Linked DNA regions of Caenorhabditis elegans. The protein of the gene in region 1 interacts with the protein of each later gene in a pairwise test. Each region holds a gene or a part of one and is shown in the gene's direction. Other genes may lie near its edges.

The links.
Region 2: the proteins of gsp-1 (region 1) and gfi-2 interact in a two-hybrid assay, tested with the Caenorhabditis elegans proteins (one large-scale study listed by BioGRID).

What each region holds. Positions count from the first base shown.
Region 1 is NC_003283.11:10,676,516-10,692,564, forward strand, and holds gsp-1 (Serine/threonine-protein phosphatase PP1-alpha), read left to right. Parts: upstream 1-5,906; 5' UTR 5,907-6,013; coding exon 6,014-6,068; intron 6,069-6,398; coding exon 6,399-6,530; intron 6,531-6,789; coding exon 6,790-7,020; intron 7,021-7,730; coding exon 7,731-8,194; intron 8,195-9,226; coding exon 9,227-9,334; 3' UTR 9,335-9,990; downstream 9,991-16,049. Other genes in the region: F29F11.20 (uncharacterized protein), read left to right, coding at 11,386-11,479, 11,900-12,048. UniProt on the Caenorhabditis elegans protein: Serine/threonine-protein phosphatase which antagonizes the function of air-2 in the regulation of chromosome cohesion. Dephosphorylates histone H3 at 'Ser-10'. Dephosphorylates translation initiation factor eIF2alpha.
Region 2 is NC_003279.8:9,732,057-9,749,484, forward strand, and holds gfi-2 (ANK_REP_REGION domain-containing protein), read left to right. Parts: upstream 1-5,759; 5' UTR 5,760-5,830; intron 5,831-7,446; exon of another isoform or gene 7,447-7,595; intron 7,596-8,482; 5' UTR 8,483-8,563; exon of another isoform or gene 8,564-8,565; intron 8,566-8,613; 5' UTR 8,614-8,627; coding exon 8,628-8,704; intron 8,705-9,315; coding exon 9,316-9,901; intron 9,902-10,307; coding exon 10,308-10,868; intron 10,869-10,911; coding exon 10,912-11,053; intron 11,054-11,330; coding exon 11,331-11,407; 3' UTR 11,408-12,090; downstream 12,091-17,428. Other genes in the region: K02A11.2 (SPOR domain-containing protein), read left to right, coding at 12,186-12,188, 12,919-12,987, 13,032-13,454, 13,744-13,793, 13,840-13,912; Endoribonuclease endu-1, read right to left, coding at 13,982-14,056, 14,388-14,447, 14,495-14,635, 14,687-14,794, 14,837-14,961, 15,095-15,445, 15,797-15,860; spp-25 (Saposin B-type domain-containing protein), read right to left, coding at 16,533-16,671, 16,827-16,909.

The sequences.
Region 1 (16,049 bases):
TTTCATGTTGACATCAAATTTCCCACGCACTCGTTGCCTATAATCTTCTTATTTTCCAACTTTTTCTATGCTAAATTGCTGTTTACTTGTTCCGACGTGTAGTCGTCTCAGATATTGGAGAGAAAATTTTATAAATGATACTTGACTCAAAATTACAACTTGAAAAAGGTTAGATGCTCAAATGTTTTGACTCTGCAAATATTTTGTGTTAATTCATTCTACCGTGTAAAACTGATGTTCAGCTTTTTTCACTAAGAGCAAAAACGGCTGAAGAATAAGAAAAAATTGGGTGGCAAGAAAGGAAAATGGGTGGCAAGACCAATTGTACTTTGCCTAAATATTAGATGATCAAAGGATAGAATGTTTTGTCGTCCACTGCCTTTCCTCATATCTCTCACCCGAAAAACAAAGCATTCTGGGTGGTTTCAATTTTAAAATGAAATCTAGATGATCATTACACAGCTTGTGTCATTACGTAGGAAAAGTGATAACTGACATGTCTAGGTGTGCCATTCCATAAGCCAAAAGATTATTCGTTACAGTGTTTGAACACTGACAGTTATTTTAATTTTTCAGCCGTTCTTCCCAAAGTTAACTTCATAGAAGAGCCAAAAACAATAACTGCTAGAAAAGCTCTTTTTTTAAGATGAAACTAGGTCCAAATGTAGTCCTCATTTAGAGACGTCTTCTTCTCGTAAATACTTTTAAATTACTTTTAAATTACAAAGCTTCCAAATTATTATAACTTCATTGAATAACACTTTCCAAATTAAAAAAAAAAATTATCTTCACATCAGATATCCAATTTTCAACTATTTCAAACTTTCATATACACATGTGTAAGCTGCAGCTTCACTCGGAAAACCAGTTAGATAATGTAATTCGAATGCCGCTGTGCAATTTTCAGCACTAGTTTATTTGGTTTATTCCATTTCATTCTCTTCTCGAATTCAAAAAACCCAAAACTTTTTTGTCTTCCAGTTTTCGTTGTTTCTTTTTCGTTTTTCTCTTTTCTTCCCGAATCAATGCCTTCCTTTCTCCCACAGAGGTTTTCGTTCTCTTCTTCCGTCATGTTCTTGTTTTTTTTTCAACCGTCTGTTTCTCAATTTCTCTCATTCTAACACAAAGGGTCTTGGCCCGGTGCCCCATTTTCTTTTGCTCCAAGAGCCCTTCTCTCGCCTCTTCTTCTCCTTCTTCTTCTTCGTCGTCGTCTTCGTCGTTTTTCTCACTACGTACTCCATGAGCTATTGAGCACAAGGAGACACGAAACAGGCAGTATTCAGTGTGGAAAAGAGCAACGACGTCATTTTTAAGAAGAAGAAGACGAAGATTCTCTTTGCATTCTTCACATTCACTTTTCCGTTTTTTTCAGCCCATGTTTTTTGTTTTCTTGTTTTGGTTATTTTCTACAAACTTTTTTGTCGTTCGAAGCTATGATGATGTGTTTTTGTAGAATTTCGCTAATGGCTTTCATTTTTATGGAGACTCTTCCATTTCAAAAAAAAAAGTTTATTATTGAGTTTAGGAACAAATTGCTGAGCTCTTAGATTCCCAACGGTATTAACCGGAAATATTTTCTCTGAAAATACGCAAATTATTCATTTTTCAAAACTCCTTTTCTTCCAGACATGCTTTAGAGAACAACTTCCTGTTTTGAACCATTTACTGAATGGGTGGGAGTAGATCTTTGTTATCATTAATTATTCTCTGGAATTGGAAAAAAAAACAAAAGAGGTGGGAATTCTAAAAGTATCATATTTCTTCAGAAAATGATCAGAAACTTTTTATGGTGAATGAATGAAAATTTTAGGTATTGGTTTAACAAAATATATATATATTGGTTTCATTTTTTTCACTCCACTTACTTGATGGGTTTACAATTGGTTTGTTTTCATTGTTAGAAATAATTGTGAAAGCATTAAATTCGAGATTTGTTCTATGATATATAGTCTGTCAGACATTTCCTTATTAGATACAGGTGGGCGTTAATTATTTCTTGGTATTTATCAAATTTAGTTCCAAAGTTGATAAACCCGGTGGGCGAATTTCAAAGCACTTGGGTATTGTAGTTGTACACTTAAAATGTTTGTAATTCTTTGTTTCAATCAAAACATGATCATTTATGGCATCATTATTTTTATTTGGAGACTTAGAAAAAATCAAGTCTAAGCCTGAAATTTCATTTTGTGTTTAAATGGAAATTAAATATATTTTCAACAAAAAAACAATATGACCACAAGTGACAAACCAACTTTAAATCTTACATTTTGTATAAATGTTTCCGTTTTAATTGGCCTATTCTATGATTCATAGTTGACGGTGGCGTGTTCAATGAGTTCAAAAGATGAAGTATGTTTTGTTACTTACCTTTTCTTATTTCAATATTTTTAAACAAAAAAGACAAGTGAAATCGATACGTGTCTCCGATGCTCTTGATCTTTATCCCTTTTTCAACACAAAACACACGTCTTTCTATTCATTGTTACACAAAACATTGACTTATATGACCTGTGTCTTTTGATTGTGTATTCTGGTCCTGAAGTGTTTTGAAATTTAAAATAAACGTCTGTTATGCTTACTATTAGGTATTCTGAAGCCGTCACATTGTACTCTCTTTCTCTCTGTTTCTGTGGATTCATTTTTCTTTTTTAGTCTTGGTCATCTGGAAGAATAAGAAACAGAACGTTTCTTCGTAATTCGATTAGGAGGAAGTGGTCGGAGAATGACTTGAATCATTCCGAATGTTGCCGCTGGTGATGTGAAAGATGTATATTTCTCTAAATCTCGTCAATTGTTCTGACCTTATTGCTATACTATCGCTTCGTTCCGACACTTTCCCATCGTTTATTGGGAAATTTCACATCGAATACAGACGAGACAGTCAGTTCATAACGAATTCACTGTTATTTCCCATTTTAAACTCCCGAGATGTTTGTTTATGCCTTTATAATAACGATTCATTCGAAAAGAGCCAAAAATGTTAAATTAAAAATTTCTTGGAATATGGTGATTGAATATTATATAGAATTTTTATTTAAAAAACTGATACTCCTCCCACTCACGAACTCTTTTGGACAGCTGATTCAATGTTCTTCAAAAACTTGCTGAGTTTTCACTTTTTGCTCACGAATATCTAAAAATTAAGCTAAGCTAGCTGAAAATCATCAACTGATAAAAAACATACAATTACCGTACTTGTCTTTGAAGGCTTCTGTTCTATCTCGTAGTTACTGAGTCGACTCAGCGCTATTTGAAAGCAGATAGCAAATAAATAACGAATGATTCTAGCCATAGACTTTTTCGATACATATTTTCAATGTGATCTTATTAATTGCGGCTACAGTATGTTGAATAACTAAATCACATTCTGTTTTCATTACATATTTCATTAGAAGCATGTACCTAAACTTTTTTATACGAAAAATCTTAATTGCATCTGTATGCTCATATATAGTAACATTTGATTGAATCAGTCTTTATTTTCCAGCACAAGGCGTTCCTTCGAGCCCAAAGAAACGGTTTTTCTTCCCGGTCTCTGCGCCTTGTCATCTTCGTTTTTCTTCCTATTTTTCGCCCTCTCAAAAACTTGCGGTTACTTGTTTAGTCAACAACTTTTTTTGCTTCTGCTTCTGCGCGATTCAATAAATTGAATTCGAGACCCTCATCTCAACGTGAGCATCTCGTTGCCCCGTCCGTCCCTGCTTTCCTCCTCTTTTTTCATTTCCTTTCGGTCTTATTTTGCCTTCTCTCGATCTTTTTCACATGTGCTTACGTTTTCTTTCACCTCAATCAAAGCTCGAACATGATACTAAATTTTCGTGAGAAAAGTTTTTGACTAATAATTGTTTTTAGCTGTTTATTTGAAAGCGTAATTCCGAAATTTTCACAAATCTCCAAAAAAGGAGCCTAGTACGGTGGTTTTTTGTGTGCAATTGTGCGTCAACTTGTGAACAGTGTTTGCGGACTTTCAAAATAATTTTTGTCCTATTGCATTTTTTGAATGTTTTTCATCGCTTTTTTCGTTTATGAAACTGTTTATGTTACGAAATCAAGTAGTTTTATTCTTTTTTAAATAATTTTCGTTTGATATAACTATTTTCCGTAATGTCATAGAGGCTTAAGGTGATTTGAATGACTTCTTGGGGTATTTATTCCAGAATTTATTTATTTCGATTGAATAGAAAAGAAGTTGGTTTAAAATATGAATAACATGTGTTATCATTTAGTTTATATTGTTAACATTATATTAGTCATCGAAAAGTTTTACACCGCGCAATGAAAAGAAAAATAATTACGAAATTTTATGGCTCGTAAATAGTTCTTTTTGTAACATTTTGTTGGCAGAAACATACAATTTGTCATAATTTTATGCTTAATAATAAAAAATTGTTTATTAAGTGTTGTTTGAAAAAAGTCTGGAATGTCGTATATCTTTACCGCACAGGAAGTGTTTGCCTTTCTCAATCTTTTCTTTCTCGTCGTCGTTTCCTCTTTTCGAAACGTTCTGCGTGCAAATCAAATACTTGTACATCTCGTTTTGCCCATTTGTTCTAGAGAAGAGAAAGAAAGAGCACCTCAAGCTTCTCTAGCCGTTTTTTATTGTTGTTTTTTCTCACAAGAATAAGCGTTACCCTTTTCAAAAGATAACAGACTATGCGCAAAGTGTGATAAGAAAACCTTCTCGGAAGTTGTCGCCGTTTTTGATTCCATGACGTCTTACACGATGTCAGTAGTGTCGAACCAATATCGCACGTGCCACCGGAGGTAGTGCAATAACATTGCGAATTGTTTCGGCGAAAGAATGGAAACGACGGTGGCGAGTTATCGATCAATACTGCGGGCAGTGGCCGGTGGATCGGCGCGCGTTCGTCTCTCGCTCCACTCGTACACTCACACATAGGGACAGGCACATACACATGCGTCTCAGTCCGTCGTCACTTTTCGCTCCTCTTTTTATACGCGGCATTTCATCCCGATCTCCTCATTTTCCTCCACTATTGATGAACCTACTTTGCTTGACTACAGCCACACATGTTTCTCTTTGAAAGCTTCTGTTTTCTCTCTATCATATCTTCACCATTTCCTTTTTCTAGTGCTGTAAAGTTATCCGCCTGCTGTGACGACGGTGTCGTGTTTATGACATGTTCCTCCTCGGGGTCGTTGATAACGGCAAAGAGAAGGAACGGGCGTCGTCTCGTTACCGTTTTCCGATAAAACTATATAGGTGTATAACTTGAAATTGGCCAGAAAAAAAAAGAGTATTAGAGTAGCTTCGATTTGCCTCAAGGTGCATAAAGCGGTGATTCACGTTTCGAATTTGAGAGACGCAGGTGTTTAAGTGAATATGGTCTCAGTTTGCTCCCCAATTCTTTTTGTTGTCTTTTGCTACCACAGGACGAAGGAATTTCTCTTAGTACACCAACAAACTTTTTTCTTCAAGGCATCAGTTGCTCGTTTTCTATTTTCAATGTTTAGAAACAGTATAGCACAAATTTCACATAATTCAGTTTTTTTGTTTGTTTTCACGACACGCGTTTGTTGCCTTTTCAAATTCAAAATTTGCATATCGATTGTTAAAAACCATGTGTTCTTTCTTTCTCAAACATTTTAATATTGTGTCCATCACGTCATCGAGTTTCCGATTGAAACAAATCACTTTAAGGTTTTTATTCTTCAAAAATATAATCCAATCAGGAAATTTGAAAACTATATTATATTCGCATTACAATTTCTTGATAAAATTCTCATTTTTGCATTTTTCCTCTTGGAATTGTAATGATACGCATCACATCCTACTGCTGTTGTTTTTTGATGCTTTTTAAGCTTAGTCTTATCAATTTTCTCACGTTTTCCTTGAAGTTTTTTTTAAATTCTCACGCCAACGTTACTAATTTTTTATCTTTCAGCCACAACCAATATCAGTTGTCGGCCAAAAACATTGCAAGAACATACATCACTTGCCATCCATCAAAAGTGACCAACAGAAGCCGCGGAGATTGCAGCTGCAAAAACAATGTCGAACGATGGAGATTTAAACATTGACAATCTGATCACCAGACTTCTTGAAGGTGGGTTTTAAAGTTAATAGAGAAATTGATCTAATATCGACATTCGAACTAAACCAGCTGTATAGTTGTTCAGAAATTTTATTGAATTTTATTTGTTTGAAATTCCGACTAGAAATTCCAAATATTCTGGTTTTGAGGAATTTTGTTTAATATAGCAATTATCATTATTTATTATGGTTGGCAACTATTTATTTCAATAATTTCTGTCATTTTTCCACTTTCCGATTTTTACGGTCGTAAAAAATTTAATTAATATTTAAAATTTTACTAATTCTCTTTAAAGCTTATTTTAAGTGACTAATTTGATTTTTCAATAAAATTATTTTTCAGTTCGCGGATGTCGTCCAGGAAAGCCAGTTACCATGTCGGAGGCGGAGATCCGTGCTCTTTGTCATAAATCTCGTGAGATCTTCCTATCACAGCCAATTCTTCTGGAACTCGAAGCACCTCTCAAGATTTGTGGTGAGTTTTTTTATTATTCAAAAACCGTTTTTGTGTCTGCAATGTAAGAGACGACTAGAGAATATGGTCAATAGTCTTCGATTATTTATAAATTCTGTCTAAAAATTCAAAGATAGTTCAATTATTTAGTAAAAACATCACTGAACGTATGTGATTATTGGAAAAAAAGTCCGAATGTCATTGAAAAGTTTCGCAGCATACAATTTAGAATGTTAATTTCTCTAAAAGTTCAATATGAATGAGAAATATTTAATTTTAGGAGACATACATGGACAATATAACGACTTGCTCCGTTTATTCGAATACGGAGGATTCCCACCAGAGGCCAATTACTTGTTCCTCGGAGATTATGTCGATCGTGGAAAGCAGAGCTTGGAAACAATTTGCTTGTTGCTCGCATACAAAGTCAAATATCCAGAAAACTTTTTCCTTCTTCGTGGAAACCACGAATGTGCTTCAATTAACCGTATTTATGGATTCTACGATGAATGTAAGGTTTTTTTTTGCTTTAAAGAAAATTCGAAATATTAATTGAGATATTACGTGTCCATGATTTGATGAAAACTGCGGAGACGCCTGCGTCTCTCTTCTCCACACGCTCTCTCGCCATAGGCGTTTTGCATAGGCGTTAGATAGCATGCGAGAAAAAGAGACGCAGGTGCTTTTTGCGCTTAAGATATGGCGATTTTTCTCACCCGCACATGGATACGTAATAACAAATTATTCCAAAACAAAATATTCGCTTTTTTTTAAATTTTCATACGCCCGTTCACATCAAGTAGAAACTTTCTCCGGATGACAAAAAGATTCTTAATAACCATGCATCGGTTGTGTATATTTTAATTTATATTTCAACGAAAAATTCCATTAAATTCTGGGTTATTAAAATTTGTCCAGTTCAATCAGCAAATTTCGATAGTTAAAAAAGGAAAATTATGTCAATTATTTTTTCAAAATAACAGAATAATTACAATTTTCAATCAATGTAAAAATTTGGAGAACAATAGCTACTGAATTCTTTGAAAAAATCAGTATATTTTGAAGATTTTCTTATTTCTCTTTTTTTCAGATTCTTATACTCAAATTTTCATCAAATATCAAAAAAAAACGACCAGGTCCTCAAATTTTAATTTAATAATTTTTAGAAGTAAAAATTGCTGGAATTGTTATTGAAAAGTCTTTAAACCAAATAATTTTCAGGTAAGAGACGTTTTTCGATCAAATTGTGGAAAACTTTCACCGATTGCTTCAACTGTCTTCCAATTGCTGCACTCATTGATGAGAAGATCTTCTGCTGTCACGGAGGACTCTCCCCAGATCTCCAAAATATGGAACAAATTCGCCGTGTGATGCGACCAACCGATGTTCCTGATACTGGATTGTTGTGCGATTTGCTCTGGTCTGATCCAGACAAGGATGTTACCGGATGGGGAGAAAATGATAGAGGAGTCTCGTTCACATTTGGACCTGATGTCGTTGCAAAGTTTTTGAACAGACATGATTTGGATCTGATATGCAGAGCTCATCAGGTCGTCGAAGATGGATATGAGTTCTTTGCTAAGCGACAACTTGTCACACTATTCTCTGCTCCAAATTATTGTGGAGAATTCGATAACGCTGGTGGAATGATGAGCGTTGATGAGACATTAATGTGCAGTTTCCAGGTAAGAATATTTCTGTTATGTATTCGAAGGCCGAACAAGGAGAGAAGACGAGTAGTTTATTACATTACTAAACTAAGGAATAAATAAGTTAGTTCATAGAGTTCACGTTATACGATCTTCTTAGCCACGTCGTGGGTCAATACACGTTCCAACAATTTCATTCTTTTTCCAAATATTCCAGATCCCCGAAATGGAATAAATTCAAACAAGATGGAAAATCAGAAACCAATTTTCTAAATGTGTTTACAATTGATTTTTAAATTAGGGGTCGGGCATCCTTGGTCAAGAGGAACCGATTTCGAAAAATTGAAACCTCGTGAGATTGAAAATCGAATTTATGTAAAAGTTCCTGCTCTTCAAATTTAATTTTGGCTGGGAACTCATTGAACATTCGCATCACATCAAGAAATAATCTAGCATGAGATGAACCTTTTTAGAGAAAAACGGCACCGGCATATTTACAAATTCGTATTAAAATGATCGAGAAAATTAGAATGCTAGTGGCTGTGTATTTCACGTGAAAAAAACTATCAAATTCTTTAATTTTGAATATATTTCACAAAATCTCGTGAAATTTGTATCAAAAATCAATAATTTTTCGTAAATCTTAGAAATCTCAGGAACCGAAAATGAGCTGTATTAGTATTTCACCTTCCATCTTCTTTCTTTTCCATATCAAAATATGAGAGAAAAAGTACCATCAAACGGTACTTCTTTATTAAAATCCTACATTTCGGAAAAAATTTAAAATGTTTAAATATATAATGTTGATAATTGTTCAGTTAGTGACAATTTGTTCTTTTCCCGAAAAAACAATCTAACTCAAGTAGTTGCATCCCATGTTACGTCAAAACTCTTTTTCTTCCAATATCCTCTTGAACCTATCGGGAAATAATGACCAAACTGAACCATCAGTGATTATTAGATAATTTTATACTCAAAAAGCTTATAGAATTAATTTTGATCGGATAAGACTGAAATTGTTTTTTTTCAAATAAATTAGAAAAATTTGATTCATTATTTATTTTACAGATTCTGAAACCATCGGAGAAAAAAGCGAAATATCAGTATCAAGGAATGAACAGTGGACGACCAGCAGTGGGCGGAGGACGGCCTGGAACGACTGCTGGTAAGAAGTAAAGTGATGAGGAGAAAGAACATTTTTGCCTACATTTTTACTCATTTCTCTCGGATTTTTACTTTTCTGTCCGTTTTTTTTGAATTTCCCTTCTCTTTTATCTCAAACATTTTATTATTTTCTCGCCCTCAATACACCCCACCCCGCACAAAAACGAGTTTTAAATGCTCTTCATTATTATTTTCTTTTCTGATTTTCTATTTTTGTGCAACTGTACTCGATCGAATATAATTTAATTTTTCTGGCGAGTACAGATTGCAAATCTTTCTCTCTCTCCTTCTGTGTTCTCCATTTTTAGCTAAATTTTCTCATATATTTTTTTTCTGATTGCCTCTCTTTTTCCATTTGCTCTTATCCTGTTTTATTCTTAGTTGTGAGCCTAACACACCGGGATCAAAATCCTTCCGATTTAAAGTTGCAGCTTATTTATTCTTACAATGTTAATCACACAAACATTCTGAAAGTACGAGAGCGAATTCGTTCTTATTTTTTAGAATATTGAATTCTGATCCGCCCCAACAACACGCACACTGATAATTTTCTATGGTTTTTATTCGAAAATAGTGAATTTTTCTCGACAGCTCCCCCCGTTCCTTTTTCTCGCCCCCATTTCCTTCTTTCTTTCCTCCAACTGATTCCAATGAATATTTTTTCCAAAAGGTTTCTCTTGCGCAAGAACCAGTCACTCAAATTTTGTGTGTGTGTGTTTGGTCAAAGTATTTATAAAACACATACTGTCTTCAGGCAAAAAAATAATGGAAAAAGTATGAATCACATTGTTTGGAATGAGTACAAGAATAGAAATAAAATGTTCGTTGGATGGAAAAAGAATAAAGAGAAGGAATCCTGCCAAGGGAAACCAATTACTTCTGAAACATTAAATCAAGATCAGGGAAATTTAATATTTCAGAAATAACTGCAACACATAATCCTTTAAACTGGGCAATTATTTTTTAAAAATTCTATTTGGTAGTTTTCAGAATGGATTTCGTCGCCAAAATAATGTTATTTATAAACCATTCGACTCAATAATACGATACCTGGACCCGGCACGACTGTAATATTTTTTAATGATTTCTGTGAAAAGCAGTGTGCGTCTTTCAAGAGTACAGTAGTTTACACTTCTGACTGCTGCACAATGTTTTCAATTTTTCGCTTTATTTTCTTTTGAAAGTTCCTTATTTTCAGAAATTTAAAGTATGCATGTGAAAAAAACTATTTTACAGAAAAATGTGAAGGAATCTTAAGATGTGAAAAATCGAAGAAAATTGCATTCTACAGCAGAACGGAATGGACGCCACTGTAATCATTAAAGGCGCAGTCTTTTTTCTCGCAGCTTTTATTAAAACATTTTTTCGTGACGAGACCGGGTACCGTATCCCAGCGTCATTACAATTTTCACATCTGGGAATATTGTGTTGTTCTTTATTAAGGAAAAGTTAACAAAAAACACTTTTGTTGTGATTTTGCGAATTAAATGAGGTCCCGTGTGCGCCTTTAATGAATACTGTAATATCAAACTCTTGTTGCTTCGGAATTTTCATAGATTGTTCATAGTGTTTCACACGATTTTTTAACATTCATATGCTTTGTTTTTCGTTTTCTTGATTAAATTTTTCTTCAAACAATGAATGATTAATGAAAATTCCGAAGCAATAGCTTGAAATTACAGTAATTATTAAAGGCACACGCCTTTTCGCATTTAACGAACGTTTGTCGTGTCGAGACCGGGGACCTTATTTTTTAGATCGCAAAATCTTGCCGTGTAATAAAATCCTCGCATTCCAATTTCAAAATGCTCAAAGTTCTTAATATGTGTGTGGTTTGAACTCATAGTTTGCTCTACAGTGCCGTAATACGAGACGGAGCACACAGGTTAAGACGTGTTTGAGCAGCATTTCACAGTTTGTCGCAAAAACTTCGAACAGTTTTTTGCCCGTTTCGCAGACAACTTTGAGAGTTTACGAGAGTATTTCACAAGTAAATACATTATTTCCTTCAATTGTTGCCACTCGGTCTCATTGACTGTGTTTCACATTATTTGCAATTGAAAATGTTCCAGTTGTTTAAAGCTCCGCCCATTGCAGTTCGCTTAGATAGAGAAAAACAGAGAGGAATCATCAGACGACAAGATTATTGCTTTTTTGGTGGGTTTTTTCAAATGTATAATTCAGCCTATAAAAGGTAAACTTCATTTTAACCAAGATGGTTTTAAATTTTACTTTAGCTCTAGTAAACATGGTTTTTTAAATGTTATTTTTTCCTTTAGTTAAGTTGTGATTGGACGTAAATTATGAGTGATTCCATAGTTAAAACATTCAATAGGATGGGTCTCGCCGTGATAAAAATTTATGGTAGAATTTTTTACATTTATTATGCATTCTTAATTAATTTGTATTTATTACTTAAAGACTTGTTAATAGTGACAAATATCTGTAAAATTCACCAATGAATCCCGGTTTTCAAAATTTAAATTTCTAAAATCAATAGTTTTTCCTTCTCAACTCTCGAGGAAAAATTTGTCTCTAAAGCATCTAAAAACAAAATGATATCATGTATTTGCACAGGTATGCTCAATTCGTCCATGATTGAACAACAATTACCGTATCTTATGAGTTTTCCAATCCAGATACTTATTTATTTTGAGCGATATAATTTGGTCATAACTCAATCATTCCATTTGGTATTTACCAATGGATATTTGAAATACCAGTAAGCTCTCATCTCTCAACCAACCGCATTGTCTTGTCAATAGTCCACTTCTCGCTGTTCTTTTTCATTTCACCCGCCTCCACTTTACCCTCTCAATAATACGTCATTTTCCCTCATCTTTTTCACGTACATTCTCATTTGGCAGATTTTGAGAAATTAAAATAAATTTTTATCTTTTTGCATCTTTTTCTCTATTCTTTAGCCATTTTTACCTTATTCCCATTTTCTCATTAAAAAAAAACCGGTGTCAGCTGACCGGTCTGCCAACCGAATTTTTAGAAAATTCCGTCAAAATTTTTGTGTTTCTCTGACAACCGAACGAGGCAAAAAAAGAAGAGGAGATGACATCTTGTTGAAACCCGTTTGGAGTTGGAAAAAAAATTGGACGAGTAATGGGAAAAATGACCAGAAAAGACGACCGTACAAGAAGATGAAGAATTGAATTTCGAGATGAACGAAGGAAATCGTGAGATATTTTGTAGAAAAATGAAATATTCACTGGGAAATAGAAGAAAAGTATAAAATTTCAGAAAAAATTTGATTTGAATAAAATTTGATTTTAGGTTCAAAAGTCAACCCCTCCCACCTAATAAAAGTTCAATATTTGAGAATATTCATCTCTGAACAACATAGTCTTCATGGCAAAATCATCAGACATTAGGGCTCTCGGACATTAGAAATACTTGATTTCTCAATGACACACACTTAAATTTCGTAGTAAATCAAACCTAAAATTTTAAATTCGTCAGAATTTTTTTTGAAACATGTAAAACATAGTTATTTAAAAGTGCTAAAAAGTGACTAGCGCGTCAAGCGCGCTAGGCTTCGCAGTAGATTAAGTTGGTAAACTGGGGAAAATTTGGATCTTTTTTAACCAAAATTGACTGAGCCATGGCCATTTGAAGATAATATTTTTTCTGGGTCTTTTTTAAGTGTATTCGGGCCTGCGGCACTCATCCTGATTTATTGGGCTCAGAATAGGCTTAATGGCTGTCCAATACTTTTATGTATTCGGGCCTGCGGCCCTCAATCCGGATTACCTGACCATTCCAAAAACAGACGTAGTTATGGAAACATACGTCTCATAGAAGGCCTCCAGCCTGCTCTGCTGGGAGTAGGGATAGAAAAGGTCTAAAGTTTCTAAGAGTAAAAAGGATTTTTTGGGTTTGAGTGAAAAACAATAGCATTGCAGGCCTCCAGCCTGCCCTGCTGGAAGTGAGGTTTAAAGTGACCAAAATGTCCGAGAAGTGCGGTCCTCAATAGGATTAGAGAAAAAGTAAAAATCTTGAAAAATCTTTAAAATTAAATTCTCCTCACGTTATAAAAATAAGAAATGAAAATTATCGAATTCATCCCCAAAAATAGAGAGTGGTAGGAAAGTTTTTCACGTTTAATCCATCTTTTTAATTTTGCAAAATTTGAATGATGGCCTACATTTTGGAAAGTTGGTCAATTTTTTTCAAAATAGTTTCAAAAAATTGGTAATTCGAAGTTCTCTCTTGTGCTCAAATTGGAACCAAATGTCAGAAAAACTGCTCGTATGGTATTGAAAAATATAAAACTCTTCAGTGCAAAGAAAATATTCAATTTTCGCGGTCTCCAGAAACCCGCGCAAATCAGTGTTCTACCCTTCCCAAAATTAATCCCCTCAATAATGACCATGGTGGGGCAACTATTTTTGAGTCATTCGCACTTAGTGAATGCAAAAGCGCCAGCTATGAGCCAAGTTATTAAAGCTCAAAGTTTGTACATTTTTGTCGGACACCCCATGTCGAAAACGTGCCCTTATTTTTTATTTCTGTCAAGTATGCAATTTCAGGATTTAATATAGGAAGAGGCAGATTTCGTGAGGTTTATTATTTTTTAGTCTCCTAAGTTCCAGAATCTATTGATTCTTATGAAGGAGACACTATTCAAATTGCCTACCAAAATACTTTTTTTGTTAACTACCACTGTTCCCGAAAGTCTCCAATGAACATCCCTTGTTGTATAAACCTTTCAATGTATACCATATATTCAGTATGAGGGCAATAAATTTCACATTTTGTTTCCAAAAAAAACGAGAGTATGGGCGTGCAACTACTTAGTGTAGAAAAGGATTGAGAGAAAAGGGGTTTTGGTTTTGAAAGTGATTTTCATGACATACATTCATCTCATTCGGCATCATTTTACTGTAGATAACTGTTACTGCATTTACTAGAAAATACAAATATTACCTGAACATTCCTAATGAATCACATTTACTATTAATCGGATTGAGTTTTTAAGCCTAAAACGCAACTTATTGAATTTCCCTAACAAAAAATCGTACATATATATTCAAATGTATGCAATATGAAATGGTTCAGCTTTTTTTATATTTTCAAATTTGAAAAAATTATATCTCTATTGATTTTGAGAATAGAAGAATAGTGAATCAAAAAACTTAAAAAATAAATGAATATTGTTTTCTGTTGACAATTGTTTTTATCAAAACTAAAGGAAACCGAGGATGTTGAGCAATGTGACGCAGTTCTAAATGAGAAAATACGGCAATTTCTGAACTTTTCTCTAAATAACAAAGACAAATAAACTTGGCACATATGCTCAAAATAAATATATATTTCAAGATGACTAACTCAAAATGTTATTATTTTTATGAATATCCCGAACACCTGCTGCTGAAATTACCAATCTTTGATGATTGTTTCACCTGCATTTCTTCTTTTGATTTTCATTTCCGTGTATTCTTTTCACCTATTGTCCAAGTGGTTTCGGTACTTGACACCAGTCATCATCCACCTCCCGCTTCCTCATTTTGCCATCGGTCTTCATTTTCAATGGCAACAGTATCCAATATCCTCGGATCTTTCTTCATTTTACCTGTAACTATCTTCCCTCCTCATTGCTAGTATCTATCATATGATCCAGTCGGTTCGAACCAACTACTTGAGCTTCGAAATAGTGCATTGATCAGTGAGACGCAGATATTTGTTCTTCTGTTGGTGAAAGGGGGCACAAAAAAGAAGCCTCTCCCTATCGGAGGGAGACTGCACCGCGCGAAACGTGAACCGAGGATTCACGCAATGTCTTCCTCTCTATGTCTCTTTCCGTCTAGACTTATGCCGGTTACTGTCTTCCTGTCTTCCTGTCTTTTCTCTAAATCTTTTTTTCTAATAATTACAACTTTTACTCAGTTTACTCATTCTTGCTTATGATGTTCTCTAACTGTTTCATAATCTACCTGATTTTTCCCAATACTTGAAAAGATTTAAAGATTACTCATTTACCGCCGCGTTCCAATGAACTTCTTGAACCTTCTCTTTCATCTTTACTTGCCAATATCTAAATTTTCTGCAGTTTCAGCCAATAATGTAATTCCACACATTTTTCGAAATAATTTCTAAAATTTTATTTCAAGCTATCTTGCAACCATTGTTGAAGTTTTTCTCGTGCGGAAATTTGGTACCTGAGTCTGAGTCAAATCTTTGGTAATGTTTTGTGAAACTCAAATTCAACAAACTTCCTTTTCAAAGTTGCAGTCCGTAACGCTGAACGTTTAGAATGTTATTATAAATACGCATATTTGAAAAAGGTTTCCCATTAAATTCCAAAAATAGTTAGAATTTCATAGACGCTTCTTTGCTTGTCATACCAGCATAATTTGAACCTCTCATTATCATTTAACAGTAGAAATATATGTATAATCTCTGTTGTTTCTTATCGTTTTCTTTTTCTTGAAAACGCTCTCTTGTTCACTTTTGTTCACTTTTTTTTACCTCAACGTTCTCATTTCGAAAACGAAAATTGCCTACTTGAGAGGAGCACTGATCGCTCAGTAGCTCACATTTGTCTTCCAAGATCGTTTTCAAGTGAGCAAAACTGTGAAATGTGCACTTTTAGGTACGTTGATCCGTTTGTTAGCTAACTATTGTAAGTTGAGCCAGAAAATCTACCTACCCAGCAAATTTCATAAATTGAGAAGCCGCTAATGTGCGGGAGTTACATATATGTTTAGGAGAGGCG
Region 2 (17,428 bases), on another chromosome or scaffold:
TGTGGTTGTTGGGTTAAGGTTCCCAACTACTACCATATATCATTCATTTTGCAAGAAGTTTTTACATGTTTCCTCACTTCTTATTTCTCTAAAAATTCCTATTTACGGATGTGTTCTTCTTGAAACAACCGGTTAGGTTTTGATTCATCGTAATCCCAATTACTTTGATGATTCCCATCATTGAGGGCCTCGGAACACCTTGTCATAGTATCGTTGTGAAAAGAGAAAACAACCAAATTAGTTGGAATAAAAAATATAACAGGATGAAAAAATCTGCGGATTGGAAGGAAATCATTGATTCGAAACTTCGCGTAGGCTATATTTGACAAGGTGGAAACCAGGTTTTCATTTTTGAAAATTTAGATTTTAAGAAAATTAGCGATCTTCAAGATTCACATTGATATTTAACTGCATTGGTTTGAAAAGAAAATCATAGGAATTACGCAAATCTCTTCAGTGTTTCCACTCAACTGTATCTAACAATATTATAATTTTTCAGTTTCTAGACGAACATAGTGTTCATATAAATGCGACGAAAAAGGTAATGTGAATATATCTGCGTCTCTTATAATTCCACACTCTATTCTCATGCTTTGCTTCTTCAGCCTCTCAAGCTCCGTCCATCGACACAATTCATTCACTTATTCGCTTCCACACACACAACAAACCTAACCTCGCTATCCCGTCCCTTCACTGCATCTTGCTTTTTAGGCATTTTTTCTCACCCTGCGTCTCTTCATCATAAAGTGTTATTTTATTCCAGAGAAAAAGTCTGAAAAAAGAAGAAGTACGTCAACAAATATAAAAATGTACGGGGAGAACATCTTCTCCTTTTTCTTTATTCGAAGATATTCGGCAGAAAATTACACGGTGTCTCTCTTGTCTGTTTCCGTAAAGGACGTCTTTAACTTTTTTTTCTTCTCAATTCTTCTTTTATCCGCTTCATTCGCAGTTTCCGATATTTACCAACAATATCCATTTCACTCTTGTCGACTCAATTTGTTCCGTTCTTGTTCCGTTCTCATAGACCAATATTTTCACTCTCTCACATCTAAATCTCGTAAATTGAGTTTTGATTTTCGTTTTAATCAAGCAAAAACGAACGAAAAGAGGCAATTATCCAATATTAAGTGAACCGAACCAACATATTTCCAATACAGTATCCATTCTTACCTAAAAACTTGAAAAATGGAATTTTTCTCATTCACATCTTAGTTTTGGCCGTTCACCACCACCCCCACATAAGATGTTTTTCACATCGTTTTCTGGTGCCCTTTTCCAGAAGCGACCTCTCTTTTTTCTCGGGGATTATCCGCCCACAGATGGCAATTGTGTTTCTTGCAAATCTCGTTTGAGATTTTGAGTCTACAAACATCCTTCTTTTTTTCCATAAAAATTCCTTACCATTTCTTTTTAAACATGAATCTTACATGATAACACAGCAGTCAAAAAAACTATTTCACATTGAATATAGTTTGTCTTCGAAAATTGAATTGACGTCATATTTGTTAATCCTATCAACTTGTTAGATCTTAACTACGGTCAATCGATTTCTGTGATTGTTTGCGTTTCTTCTCATAAACACCGTTCTCTCGAACATCCGAACTCAAACCGATTCGTTTCGTTTTCGAACACCGAGTGCACAGAAGCCCAATTGGTGAAAACGATAGATCACATTAATTTAGGAGAGTACCAGAAAGATTTGATTGTTTGTTTGTTTTGACGGGACGGGTGGGAACGAAAATGCAGAGGCACATATAAATTTGGAACCATCTAGGCGCATAGGTTGGTACGAAGACAGCAATAAAGGTTTTTCTCATTTTTAATTCGGAATATCATCGGCATACTTCCTAAATAGTTGTGTTAGCGTTTATAAAATTGTAGCTGAGAATTTCTGTAATTCAGTGCCATTTGGAAAGTAATCGGTAGACTTGCAATAATTTACTGGGACTGATAAGGATGTTCAAAGACTAATCCAAGCTCAAGTAGTTTTCTGCTTCTTCCTCTTGCACTTTGTTTGCCTGCCATTGAGGCAAAACTGTGCGTTGGAATTTCTGTGTTGCATTTTTCATTTTGCTCTCCTGCGCGAGCGGCCACTTCTTCCTCCTCCTCCTCCTGCTTTTCACCCACCTTTTCCAAAGGTCGTCAAGAAATGGGAGAGATGAAGAGAGAAACAAGAGAGAGTTGTGGAAAATACAGCGAACACAGACGCAGACTGATCAATCATAGACTTCCTCGGGGGGTCTTTCCGAAAGACCACCATCAACACCACTACCGGCCGTTAATTATTATGCTTCCGGTATCTGGTGACCCTCTGGTGGTGAATATGACACACGTCATTTCTAAATTGTGTCAATGGTTCCTTTTTACCGGACAACAATTCATTTGCATTGTCCTGATAGGAAACATCATGAATATTTATCTATGTTTATGTAGTTATATATTCTACATGTATCAGAGATAATCTAGATAATTGTATTGGACACAGTTGAAATTCTAATTAAGAATACAGTTTTGAAATTTTTTAATTTTTCCCAGAGAACTTGATATGAGATAAAACCAAAAATCATGCGATGCCAGACTATTTCACCTGTTATTGCTATTCTATTTTTGGAAACTTACCTTTATTTCTTTGACGCATATTATTTGTGAATGATCTTTTGAAATGCAATCTGATTCTTATTGATGAAAACTTTAGTTCACAATATCGAAATTTCATTGGAAAAGATACATTTTTTGCTCATTTTGTAGCTATTTTCGAAACGAAAAAGTCTACAGAGTCCAAAGAAAATCGGTCTTTCTTATTTATTATTCTAACTGCAAGTACACAAAAGACGCTTGGCAACGTGTTGGAAGAAGCATAAATTGTTTCTACGGAGTTTTGAAAACGCGTCCATGTGGGCAGCACTTTTCTCTGTTCACTTACACACTCTTTGCCAAAAAATGCTCTGACAAAAGAGCAAGATGCTATGTGTGTTTCTCCAGATGAGTAGTTTCGATGGATGGTTTTAATTAAAATCGAACCCTTTTTCTCTCTGCTTTTCTGCATCTTTCACATCTCCACTTGAATTTGTCTTTGCCTTCTGGAGCTCCAAATAGTGAGGAGCTCACAAGTGGCTCCGAGACGATGATGCTCCGTTGGATAATGAAATAGTGTTTCTTGTGTTGCTTTAGCTTCAATATTTCATATGTCATACTAAATTCTAAGAGATTTTACATTAAAAAAAGAAAAGAAATTATATATATTTTTTCCTTCAAAAGTGACTCATCGAGTTACTTTGTCTCAATTCGAGGAAAATTTTCGAAAGAGTTTGATGAGGAATTTTAATGAGAACTTTGCCGGAAAAGTGACATGAATAGCCTCATCGTCCATGTTTTCCAGCACATTTCGGAAATGCAGAAAACAGGAATCGCGTGTGCTTCGGTGTCGAATATCCGTTTCAAATTGGAATTCTGAATTTTCGATCTTCAAATTTCTAACTATAAGTCTGTCGTCGAATAGTGCATTAAAAATCATGTTTCCAAAAAAAGAAGTTGTGACGTTCCAATAACTTTTCCCGTTCCGTTAGTCATTATTTGTTTGTCTTCTCGTTTTGATTTGGCCCTTCGAATGCTCTCTGACTCAACTATAAACTCACATCTCTCATGTGGGCGCTTGCTCGTTCTATCATAAAATTGATAAGGGAAACTATACTGAAAAATGTATGTTTCTAGTTTCTTTTTTTGAATCGAGGCAGATTTTAAAACTCAAATAATAGAAATAGATCATAATGACCCAATATAACTGTAAAAAAGTTTATACAATTTTTTTTTTCAATTTTGCAAAAAAAATTAAATGACACCATTTGGTGAAATCATAGAGTAAAAATCGATATAAACCGTTGTCGGAAAAAACTCCAGAAAACTTTGTGTGGTCTAATCAGCCATTTTAATTTTTTTTTTTGCAAAATCAAAAAAAAGTTACAAATTTTAAAACAGTTATAACCACTAAAAACCCACTATTACTCCTATATGTTACTCCAATTGATTTCAAATAAACTGTCGGATATTCTTCAATTCTGAAACGAGAAAACGTATCCGTCAAAAATCTTATGAATATTCAATGGATTCTCATAATTCATATCTTCTAGTAGTCACATTTCTGCTTTGACGTTTTTTTTTTCAATCGAATAAAAAACTGAACAATGGTTAGAACCTGAATTCTCTAAGTAGGTTAATCGTAATCTTGAAATAAATATTTTCCAATCATTTTTAAGCCACAATTGCTTATCAATCACCATTTTTTCATGAAAATCTCTAATTTCTCTCTCATATAGAATAGTATCTAACTTCCTGTCGAAAAAAGATTCAATCTTTCATGATCACCCCGCTTCTCATGTTATCACGTGTCTACTGATGTTCCAATCAGTTCCCCTCTTCTCAACTTTATTTCTCAATTCAACAAAGGTCAATCTCGTGTCGTCGACGACGTTCTTCTCGTTTTCTCAAGCATCAGAACTACCAGAAATATTATTTTTTTTAGTTTTTTTAAAATCCTTCCATCAATGTCCGTCGTCTCCTTTTCTCCTTCGTTTCTCCTTTTTGATTGTTTTTGCAAACAAGACACGCATGTTCGTCTCAAGAGCCACACCACTACCGCCGGTCGACGCAAGGGAGCTCCCAGAGAGCATTCTTTTTTGTCTTTTCTCCCATCAGCAACAACTTACACCGGTTAAACGCGTTTTTTTGTGCCCCTAAACGGAACTTATTGAAAATCAGAGCTTTAGAGACAAGGGTGTGGTTTTTTTTGAATTTTCTAATAATCGAAAAACGAAAAAGTTTCGATTTTGATTTTAAAAACTTATAAATTCATCATCGATATTTGCAAATTTTCTTTAATTTTTCACAGTTTCTGAAGAAAATGTTATCAAAATCTTGTAAAAGTTTGAATTCATTTGTAAAATTACAAAAAAATTCAAAAAGTGAAATCGAAACATTTTAAGTTATTTTCGGTAACGTCCGAAAAACTGAAAACCCTGAAAAAATATTTTTTTTTTTCGATTTTTCAATAAATTATATCCGAGTGTTAACCTTTTTTGGAGATAAATAAGTTTTTCTGATGAACATTTAAAAAATCTTTTGAAAATTCGTATTTCTTCGTAAATTAAAAAAATTCTGAAAAACCTAAATTCAAATAAATATAATTTCGGTTTTCGAAAATTGCCCTAAAAATTTTTTGTAATTTTTTATTTAAAAAAGTTATTAGTTTTCGAGTTTTTTTTTAAATTTTCTGATCTCAAAAAATCACTCTCAAAACTAAATTTTTCGTGAATAACCTCAAAATGTTGAAAAAAAAAACGTTCAACATTGTTTTTTCAATGTTAAGCAACATATGATGTTCAAACTTTGCTCGAATTTCAGATTTCGCAACAATAAAAACTCTATATAAATATACCGTTGCTCTTACAAACTCTGCGTCTCTTGTCATCATCATTGATCTCTTGAAACTTTTCTTGAATAGCCAATAAGGGAAATCATCCATCTATCGGGAGAGAGTCGTCTCAAATTTCCGGAGGAAAGACCACCTTTTGATATAAACTCTTACTCTCTCTTTCTTTCTTTCTTTTTTCATTTATTTTCTGTTTTTGCTTCATCTTTTTCTCTTTTTCACCTCTTCCTTCATTATTTCTCAATTTATTTGATGAAAAGATCTCATTAAAAATTGGCCGCTTCTAGTTATTTTTTATTTCTAATTTCTTTCTAAATTTCAAAACTTTATTGTTTCAGATTGGCACTTGGAGACATATCGGGGATTTCAAGGGAACGAAAGAAGAAAAGATACATTATATTTGTAAGTTGATTCTCTTTTTAAAATTAAACAAAAAACCATTAAAAATTGAAGAAAAAAAAAAGATAATTTGCGAATTTTTGCTATTTTCGATCTAAAAATACCGTACCCGGTCTTGACAAGAAAATTACTCTTAAATACAAAAGGATGTGCGCCTTTAAAGAGTACTGTAATTTCAAAATTTCGATGCTGTAGAATTTTCATCGATTTTAAAAGCTTTCCTTTAATAAATTTTTTAAAACTAAAATAAAAAACATTAAAGTTAGATTTCAATAAATAAATAAGTAAATTTTTACCCAAAAACCATTAAAAAATTAAAAATTTCGAAGTAACGAAAGTTTGAAACTACAGTACCCTTTAAAGGCTCACATTCATTTGTATTTAGCAAAAATTGTCGTGTTGAGACCAAATGCCGTATTTTAAGCGCAAAATTACGTTTCTCTTTTCTGGTATGCCGTTTCCGATTTAAAACATAATTATTACGAAATTTAAAGTTTGAAAATTAGCTAAAAATAGTCTCAGCCAGAAAAAATCACATATAAACCTGAATATTCAATTATTTATTCTCTTAATTTCCATCTTTATTTCCTTTATTTCCTCCCTACACCCGCTCTCAATCTCCAATAAAAGAATGAGAAAAATGCGGTTTTCATGCCCCCGTATCGATGAAAACTGAATGGAAGGAAACGATGATAAGAGACGGTTTGACATGATAATGATGGCCAATTGATAGGAGAATCAGAGAGAATAAGAATATTCAAGAGAGTAAAGAAATCACACACCCTCAACATTTTCGCATAGAATTGATTAATCGATGAGTTTGCAAATATGAGCATAAATAGGTTAATGTTTCTATTAATTTATAGAAAATTGAGTGTTTAGTGCTCTTTTATTGCTGTGCTCAATTTTTATTTTTCGAAATATATGAAAAATAGCCATTTTTCGGTTTTTTCAGGAATTTTTTAAATTGGAAAATTAATTTACAATGAAACCATAGAAAAATTAAAAATTCGGTGATTAAAAAAAACATTTCTTTAAAATATAGGAAAAATACTGGATGTTGCTGAAATTTCGAATTAAAAAAAAACAAGAAAAATTGAAAATCATTTGTCGTTTTTTTTAATGTTCAAAAGTTAAAATGATTTCCAATATACCGTCCTATCTTTGCTTTTTAAAGATTTTTCTAACTTTAACATTAACATTTTCGAGAATCTATTTCCCTGACGTTTTCTGTACATTTTTTTTTTCGATTTTCCAAACATTAGAAAATCGGGCGAAAGTTTCTAAAAACTAACTATATTTCAAAAAACCTAAATTTTGAGACATTGAAGGCTGAAAAATCAAAAATTCACACCAAAATTCAAACGCATAATTTATCAAACTTAGTTTTTCGACAATTGGATACAATTATTTTTGGTAATTTCAGAAATCCCTTCCTAACTTTATTTACTAGTTTATAGTACTAGTTGTTTGTCTCAATACTTTTAATTGTTTGTTTTTTCGAACTTTGATTGATCTTTTGGCATCTTAAAAAGTCATTTGTCGTTTGAAATGCGATCAAAACACACTTTTATCATTGAATTCTTCTTCCTCTTCTTTTTTTCCATTTTTCCTATTGTCTTTTAAGCTTTATCACTCTATCTCTCTCTTCATTTTCTCAGCTGGCCGGTCCTTGAGCTGTGATCGGTTGTGGCACGTAGACTCCGCCACCATCATCACCGATCGACCAATGTGTGATAGTGGACCCTTTGGAAGTGTTGCATTCAATAAAAGAGAGAGTGAAGAGAGGCAGAGAGATAGCAGTTTTGTGATGAAAGGGATCCCGAGAAGTGTGCAAAGAGAGAAGAAGATGTGATCCGAGTGGTTTTTTGCACGTCCGGTGTCATTTTCGTAAGGTCCCGCGAATTGTTGTTTTAGTATTGAAAATATGTGAATATACTCTTTCTTTATTTCTTTACAAAAAGAAAAAAAATGTCCAATTTTTGTTCAAAAATTCCAAATTTTACTACTAAATAGGATACTGTCTTAAATTTATTTTTGCTAAAATATTATACATGAAAGATAAATTAGGAATATTTGAATGGAAAACGATGAAAATCGTGTAAAGGAACGAGAATTTGACTTTAAACTACTCTTTAAAGGCGCACATCATTTTTGATTTAACAAAAATTTGTCGTGATGACACCGTGTACCGTAGTTTTTGACGCAAAATTTCGCGATTTTGTGAGTTTGGGAGTGCGGGAGCGCGGGATCTAAATTGTTCTACAAGTCTACAGAAGCAGTTTTGATTTTAAAGATTCATTTTTTTTAAATAAACATGGAATTTTATTAAGAGTACTTGATCACTCTGGACTCTTATGGTTTTCAATCATCTCAGTTTCCGTTCTCTCATGATTTCCGGTCATTTTGATCGAAACAAGAAACCTTTTTCCTTTCTCCACTTTTGTTTCCTTCAGCAGCTTCCTTCTCAAATTGTGTATATTTCGGATTGAAATGTACTCTTTCCTTTCTCTTTTCATCTTTTCTCCTCTATATGTTCAGCATCATCATTGTCTTTGATTTGATATGATTCATTGGCGTGCTTTTTGAATATCAATTAATTTTTGCAAAATTTAAGATTTAAAATTTATTTTTCATAACTCTCAATAATTTCAGAAACTTCATCAATATCAATGAATCTGCTTTGGTCTGGCTGAATTCCTTGTCAAGAGTTTAGAACCATTTGAGCTCAGCTCAGTGTGAGTTTCAAGAAAATATAAACAAATTTCATTGTGTTTTTTTTCCAGAAAAAAGTTTAAAAATGGATCACTCGGAGCTCATCGCCGAGCTGCCCGAGATCGAGAGAATGACGGCTCAGGAGAGAATAGCTCTTGCAAGGTTTGTGGATTTTTAATTGAAAAATCAGTTTTTTTGGATTTTCTAAAAATTGATCCAAAAAGGCTGAGAGTATTTTTGAAACTTCTTTTATAAAATAAAATGACGGTCACAAATTTTGCCTTTCTCTGAGCGGCCGAAAGTTAATTTTTATTTAATTATACAATTAAAAATATAATATTGTTAACCTACTTTGCGCATTTCGGTGTTTAAACGGCGGAATTTATTTTATTTTATTTTTTGAGAATTTTCAATAGGTTATCTATTACCCAGATACGAAATTTTGCGATGTCGTACCCAAAAATACGGTACCCAGTCTCCACACAAAATGTTCATTAAATGCAAAAAGTTTATCCCTACTAAGAGTACTTCTATTTCAACCTCTTGTTTCTGCGAAATTCTCATTTTCATTTTTAATACCTAGCAGTAGCCTTGACCCCATGAAAACTTTGAAAAGACAATAAAAATTTCGCAGCAATGAGGAGTTGAGACTACAGTACTCTTTCGAGGCAAAAATCTCAAATTTTCTTTTGTTGCCAGGTTGAGCATACTTGAGAAATAAATATGATGCTACTCCACCTTAAAAAAATAAGTCTAAAATTGAAATATTTCAGAGATCGTCGGCGATTACAACTTCGTCGAAACGATGAACGAGAACGAGCCCTTCCGCCGCCTCGACCGCGACGTCAACGCCTTCATTTTGCAGCTGAAGTAGAATTATTGGAGGCGACGTGTCGAGCGGATTATGCAGAAGTCGAACGGTTACTCAACGATAATGCGAATCCAAATCTTCATAATGATGATGGTTTAACACCTTTACATCAATGTGCCATCGATGATAATCAACAAATTATGTTATTGCTCCTGGAACGCGGTGCAAATGTAAATGCGCAAGACACTGAGCAATGGACACCTCTGCATGCGGCAGCATGTTGTGCTCATATTAATATTGTAAAAATTCTTATTCAAGCTGGTGCCAATTTATTAGCAGTTAATGCAGAAGGTAATATGCCATACGATATATGTGATCATGAAGAAACTCTTGATGTAATTGAAAGTGAAATGGCTGCAAGAGGAATTACACAATCTTATATTGATGAAATGCGTGGTGCACCTGAAAAGGCTATGCTTGATGATATGAAAATGTTACATCAACAAGGACGAGAGCTTGATGCACGAGCACCTGATGGATCAACTTATGTAAGTTTTCAATTTAAAATTTGCAAAAAAAATTACTTGAGAATTTAGTTATTTACATAAGTATATCGTTATTTTGAAATATGGGAAAACTCTGAATTCCTTTATACTTTAAAATAAAAAAGGTCAATTGGTCCAAAATGAAGCACTTCAGCAAAAATTTGAAAATATTTGCAAAAAAAAAAACAGAACTTCTCCTCGAGGAGTACACGAGCTACGTAAATCGACACATGGCTATTTTAGAGGTTTACATGATTTTACGGTCATTCTTCTATTTTCAAATATGAACGCAAATAGAATTATTGTAAAAAATTAAATATTAAATTTTGAAAAATATCGAAAAAAAAGAACCACAAACTATAGTTCGTGATTCTTTTTTCAAAGATGTACATTATTTTAATATTTTCAGCTCCATGTGGCATCTGCAAATGGATATTACGATGTTGCTGCATTTCTTCTCACTTGTTCAGTTTCTCCATTGATCCGAGACAATGATTTCTGGCAACCTGTACACGCAGCCGCATGTTGGGCACAACCAGATCTCATCGAACTTCTGTGTCAGTACGGAGGTGATATTCATGCAAAGACGAAGAACGGCGAAACGCCAATGGATTTATGTGAAGATATGTCAACGAAACAAGTAATATCTCAATTGGTACAAACAGAAGCACGACGACGTAGACTTGCATTCGGAGTTCGTGATTCGAGACGGCAAAGTAAGAAAAGGAAGAAGTTTGAGTCACCACAACAAGGAGCAACAACTGGAGATAATCCATTCTCAGCTCGTGGAGCTATTCGTCGTCAATCATTACGTGATCGAAGTGGTCTTACACCTGCTAGAATTGAAGCACAAAAAGAAGGAGCTGATATTCTTAGAACGTGGTCGAAAGAAGATGTTTCTGCTGATGTACATTCTTCTCAAGGATCTCTTCAACATCAACGAGAATCTCCGAGCAAACGTGTGCTCAAAGTAAGTTGAAAAACTAAAAAAGAGATTGCATCATCTGTGTAAGTATTATTTCCAGAGTTCACAGAATAAACAAGCGAAGCCAATGTCACCGGATGAGTGGCTGAGGAAACTCGAAACAAATGCAGATGACGATTTGGATACAACGCCGAAAAGAAGTGGAAGTACAAGAAGACGACAAAAGAAAGGTGATTTTCTTTTTCCTTAAAAAAAAACTATTTTGATTTTTCTGTGTGCATGATTTCGAAAACCAAAAATCTTTTTTTTTTCTAAAATGAAAAAAAGCGAAAGAATTGTTTTTTTTTGCCAAAAAGAGATGAGAAATATCTTATATAATATCATTCTCCCGGATCGGTACTATAAAAATGTTTTGTTCACTATAAAAGTTAGAAAAAAATCTGGAATCTGAAAATGAAATCAAAAAGACCAATTTGAAAAACCACGAAATTATCATCATTTTTTCAGTTCCAGGAGACATGTCCGATTCCCGAAATGGTGATGTTAGAAGACAAAAGTCAACGTGTTGCTGTGTGATATGCTGAATCTCCGCCCCGATTGTCCAGTTTCCAAATAGGTCCCAAATCACTCCTGGGTACTGAGTACCTTGACGACAAGCACATTTTCAACGTTTTGTCAATGTTCAATGTTTATGTCTAAAAATCTTCTCTTCAATTCAAAAATCAACACAAAAAACCCCAACTAACGTTACCAACTCCCAACAAAATGGATTTCAATTACGGTTACAATCTTCGCTGTCTCTAGTATATTCTGAAATTTTCTTGTTTTTTCTTTCTGTTCATCTAGTTCACTGTGTCCTGTCACTTGTTTTTCCATGTTCTATACGCATTGTATGTCCCCTCAAATCATTTCTCTACTGTGATCGCCGCCTTCTCTCTCCGAACTTTGGTCATTTTCTCTTAAAACGTTTAGTCCCAAATCTATATATTTATATATGTATTTCTTTTATCGAAATGTGTAAGACCTCTTGATATATCCATATTTTCTGCTGATAATTCTAAAACGGTTGTGAACTGTCTAATTGCTTCTTGAAAACCCCCAAAAATCCTTCACCTTTCTCTCTAAATTTCTCCTCACATTTATGACAGAATTTGTTTGTTTTCGAATTTTCTTCTTCCATCAAAAATTATTTTGTTACTTATGTGGATTGATATAGACTTTTACTTTAAAACAAAAGAGTCAATGAATATTTATTCAAAGTTTAAAACGTCCAATACGCGATTACATCGGAAAAAACGACAAAAAAAAGAATTAATTTATTTTCAACTTCCCAAGATTTAAAAATTAGTATTGCTTTTTAACATGGTGAGTATTAGGCCATTTTCGCCGAAGAAATACGGTGCTGGGTCTAGAGACGACAATTTTTTGGTGAATGTGAAAAGGTATGCACCTTTGAAGGGTACTGTAGAGTACTGTAATATATTTCGATAAAACCGTTAAAAAATTTTTTTTAAATTACTTGATCGTCGACGCAATCGCCTGGTTGCTGTCGCCCATCGGACCATCTCTGCATTTCCACTTGGCCCGGTGCCAAAACCTTCGGTCGTGGGTCTCGAAGCGCACGCGATTACGGTAAGGGGCGTGGTTTGAAATATCAAACCTAGAAAATAGCGTTACAAGTCGAAAGCGAGTAAAACTGAACGGTTTTGAACGAAATAAAATGTTAGAAATATCAGAAAAATTAATGGAACAATAATAATATTATTATTGTTAATAATTACTCGATTAGTGTGAGAAATTGGGGCATGTCATAAAAACCCAAATTACGGGTACTAACATAATTTCGGATTATATAATTATTGATTATAAAACTCGTACATAACAATAAACACATAATGTTTTACAAATTATGAGAAAAACCATGAAAAATCGATGAAACATCCGCAAGAACTAGAGTTTGAAACTACAGTACTTTTTAAAGACGCACACCCTTTTTTCCTTCGACATAAGTCTGTCGTTTCGAGTCCCCTGGGTGCCCAGTACCGTATTTTTTACAAAGATTCGCGTCTGGCTTTTATGTCAAATTTTATTTCAGGAGGATTTCTTACAACTTGTTGTGAAATGTTTTCCAATTGCAACATTTATAGTATTCATTACATCATGTGTATGGTAGTTTCTTTATTTCAAAAATGAATTTCTCATTTTCAGACAAGTAAACCACAAAAAACCGAAACAATTTCCTCGTCGCAGTCAGTGACAGAATCATCTGAAGAATCTGAAAAAGAAGCAATAATCATAGAAACGAAGAATCCTTTGATGCTCGATGATGTGATTTCCGAAGACAGAAACGTCGCATGTGGCAACCAGAAAGATTCCAGCAAATCAGCTGAAACTGCAGAAAAGAAAAAAGAAGAATCGAAAGCAGAACAAGAATTCATTTTAGATGAAACCAATCCACATTTTGCATTTCTTCTTGCTGGAGAAAATCGAGATCAAGCTCAAACATTTTTGCATGGAAAAATTGCATATGAGCATTCGAATGCATTTCAGTGGGCAATGAAGAAACGATTGGCTTTTGATGAAGGATGCTGGAAGCACTTGAGCCGCAGAATTGGAGCTATTAGAGCAGAGGTATTACTCAGATTTTGAATACGGTAACCGGTCTCGTAACTAACATAAATGTTTTATACAAGACTGAAAAAAGTGTGTGCACCTTTAAGAAGTACACAAGTTTCAACGTTTCCACTTTATAGTCTTTCTAAACAATGTTTTTTTTTCAAAAGAAATAAACAACAAATAATGGAAACTACAGTACTTCTTAAAGGCGCATATTCTTTTTTGCAGCCATCAAAAAATATTTTTGATCGTTTTTCGAGACAGGGTACTGTGTTTCTGCGGATTTTATAATCAATAATTGCAGGGATTTGAAGTAAGAGTGAATACGCGCCAAGCAAGGGAGAATAAGCAAAAGTCTTTTTTTTAATTGTTTATATTTTCTTACAATGAATAATTTCAGTGCTGATCGTGAAACGAAAATCGATGCAGTATTCAATAAATATGCAAGGGGAAAAAAGAAGAGTGGAGAGTGAACGAATATATTGTTTATCCAAAATGAATATTTATATATTTATCAAACGATAGTATTTATACAGTTTCAATTAATTGAATCGATTTTGAGCTCTACACTGATCAGTTATTCTTCCAGCTGTTGGATAGATACTCCCAATGTACACCTGAAAAAAAAACCTATTATATCGTTATTTTGTGTAATTGTATGTTGTAAAATAGAGAAAATATACAACATTTAAGAAGGTTCTATAATTTTTCAGCAGATATATTCGGCCTATTTAGCATAATTATTTTCGGACTGTTGTTTATCATTTGGGTAAAAAACCTAGTCTCAACTCTACTTGAAACGTTATCTTTCAAATGTTATGTTTTTTTTGTGAAATCTAAAAGTGATCTCCTATAGTTTTTTTTAATAGAAGAAGTTTATTTGAGACGCCTCATTTGGCACAACTACATATATTGGGCATCCGTAATTTTGATTTTTACTTCACAAACCTTATTCTGTTGCATAATTTCAAAACTTGTGATTTGAAGTGGACATCCGTCGAATTCAACCTGCAAATCTTAAATTTATTAGAAAAACTCCAAAAGTCACAACTAACATCACAAGTCTCTCTTCCTCTTCTTGACAAAAAACACATTGTATACAGAGCCATATCAAATTCTGGAGATGTTCCAATTAGAATTGAGCCAGCTCGTTTCAAGAGGCCGTCCCATGTGAATTTTAGTGCAGCCATTATGTTCTGAAAATCAATTAAAAAAGTTTCCAGTTTTCTCACAATGAAAAAACTTACGAATCTTTTTACAGTGAATCCTTTATAATCAAAATTCTCGGTTCGATTATTCTCTAACACGTAGAATCTAACCCAATTATGCATTCCAGAGATTTCACCATTTTTTGCCTAAATATTCACACTATAAATTGAATTCAAATCTTGACTAACTTCTCCAATAAAAACATGTTCAAACCCTGAAGTATCCGGGCGTCCCAAAGCTCTTGAGTAGTGTGAAAACCAAAGTTGTCCAATCCAGAACCGAAATACTTGGGGGCTTGTGGCGATTGGATGACCTGAAATTACAATAAACAAGTTTTTCAATGGTACCAATGGTACCAGTACGTATTGGCCCGATCAACCAGGATTTATGTATTACATAAATTTAAGAAATTTAATATTTTCAATCAACAGAAATAAATTTCTCACCTTTAGCTTTAAACCAATTATATAGTTCCTGCATTGGACGTGACTCTAACACATAGTCCAAAAACTTTCCAACTTCATTTTTCTCTTCAGCTTGGCTAACACGTGGCTCAATAACACCGGTTTGTCGATTGAAATTGTCCATTAAATTAATATAAAGCTCATATGATGGCTTACGAAACAGCGAAGTATCAACCTTTGAAAAAAGTTTCGCTTGTGCTGCATCACTATCATCTCGGGTTACTGTATGTCCTTGATAGTTGAGCTTAATTTGATCGGGACGAGCACGGTTTGTGTCTACTTGACGAAGTTTTTGAGCCATTGCGAGAAGTTCCGAGTTGGATACATCAAATCCTATAAACTAATTTTGAAAAAAAAACTACATTGAACATTTCCAAACAATTTCATTCAAATAGAAATTTATGTTAAAAAATTGAATTCAAATATTTAATACATACAAAATAGCTCATTTCAATAAAAAAAAATCTAATTTTTGAAACAAAAAGATAAAAAAAATAAAACAATTAATGTTTCATTCGAGAGTAAATTTGATTTTTGTAGAAAATTTCAGAAAGTATGGATTTCAAAACCCGACGGAAAGTTCTCACTTGTCATAATGTCAGTCAGTTTTTGAATTCATTCTTAAAATTTTTAACAGAGATGATACTTATTTTCAATTCAATCTAATTTTAAAAAAAAACTCACTCGGGATTTTCTGGCACTGTGCCAACACTGTCAAGATTGAGATAAAAATGAGCACAGAGCACATTTTGTCACTGGAAAAAGTGGAGTGACCGATGGATGTAGAAAAGAAGAAAGAATTGTTGTGAAAGATGCGAACAAGAGATTCGGAGAATTAGAGATACAAAGAGTATATGTTGTGCTGATTTTATCATTTCCACTGACTCATTGGCAACAATCAATTCCTATGAGTTAGAATCTACATAATTTAATTAAAACTAAAAAGTAAGTTTGAAAATCGAGAACAAAAAAATAATCAAAACGTCATTTGAAATCGTTTGACAAGAGGAAACAAATGATTTTTTGTCTTTTTTGTGTAACATTTCACAGAGAAAGATGTCTTGGCAAACATCGGCGGGAGATTCAAAGAAACACATGGCAGGGAAGAAAAATACTTTTTGGAACTTTTTTTCTTGAAAAAATCTGAAAATTTTCTTCATCGAGTTGGGTGAAATAGTATTCAGAAATAATATAACTTTAATAAAATGTTCTTCAAAAAGCTTCTAGATTGTTTGCCTACCTCTAAACAGTCTGAAAATCATCAAAAGTACTTAGAAACTTTTTTCTGAAAATAAAATGTTTCAACAACCCTGTCAATCAGTAAACAAGCAGTGTTTCAAGAAGAACAACACCATGAAAATTATATTTGAATATTTAAATTCAATGAGTATAAAGACATTAGATAAACAAGATAAAAATTTCAGCATAAAAGTTCTCTTTGACAAATTCGATATGAAGATGTTCCTTCTTGAAGTTGTTGAAGTATATCAGCAGAATCTTCATCCGCAATTTTGTGACATTCTTGATCAGTGAAGCCGTTCAAATTTAAATCACATTGTCTGAAAATTGTTTGTGTTGGGAAGGCAGTTGTGGTCGGAAGGTAATGAGCCGGAACTTTGATAAAATATCGGGTACATATGACTGTTCAAGAAATGATAAAATAATTAAAGTGACGAAGAAATATGAGAATAGACCAAAATGTGTTAGTACTTACTGGTAAAGAGATTGCCGAAGTTGGTCAGGAGTTACATTTGTGAAATTGTTACGATACTCATATCGGACATTATTAAGGATTACCTGAAATCGGAAGAAAATTTAGATTCCTATTAGGTTTTTTGTTGGAATTATTATAATAATCGCATTCAATTTCTAAAAAAACAGGTGTTGAAATGTTGAAATGTTGAAAATTTGCAACAAAAAATATTCCAAAAGTTGTTTCTAGAAACTTGCAAATTATTGAAAAACTTACATCAGCTTCTGTAACTGACGGAAGAACTCAATTTTGAAGCAAAAGTTGGGTTCATTTTTTGAGATTTTTCCTAAACTTTTGAACTTGTTGCTATTAGGACGTACAGAACCCCGTCTTTGTTTATTTCTAAAAATCTGATTTTTTCGGCATATATTTCAAAAGCGAGCATTATTGGAAATGTCTCCAAACGTTTTTCTAAGTCTATTTTATGTTTAGGATGTTTTGTGAACCTGCGAACAACTTGAGGTGTTTTCAAGAACTTTTATACAAAAAAAAGAAAAATTCCACAAGTCTTCCAGATTGTTTGGGTACCTCAAGACATTTCAAAAAATTATAAGTCTGCATTG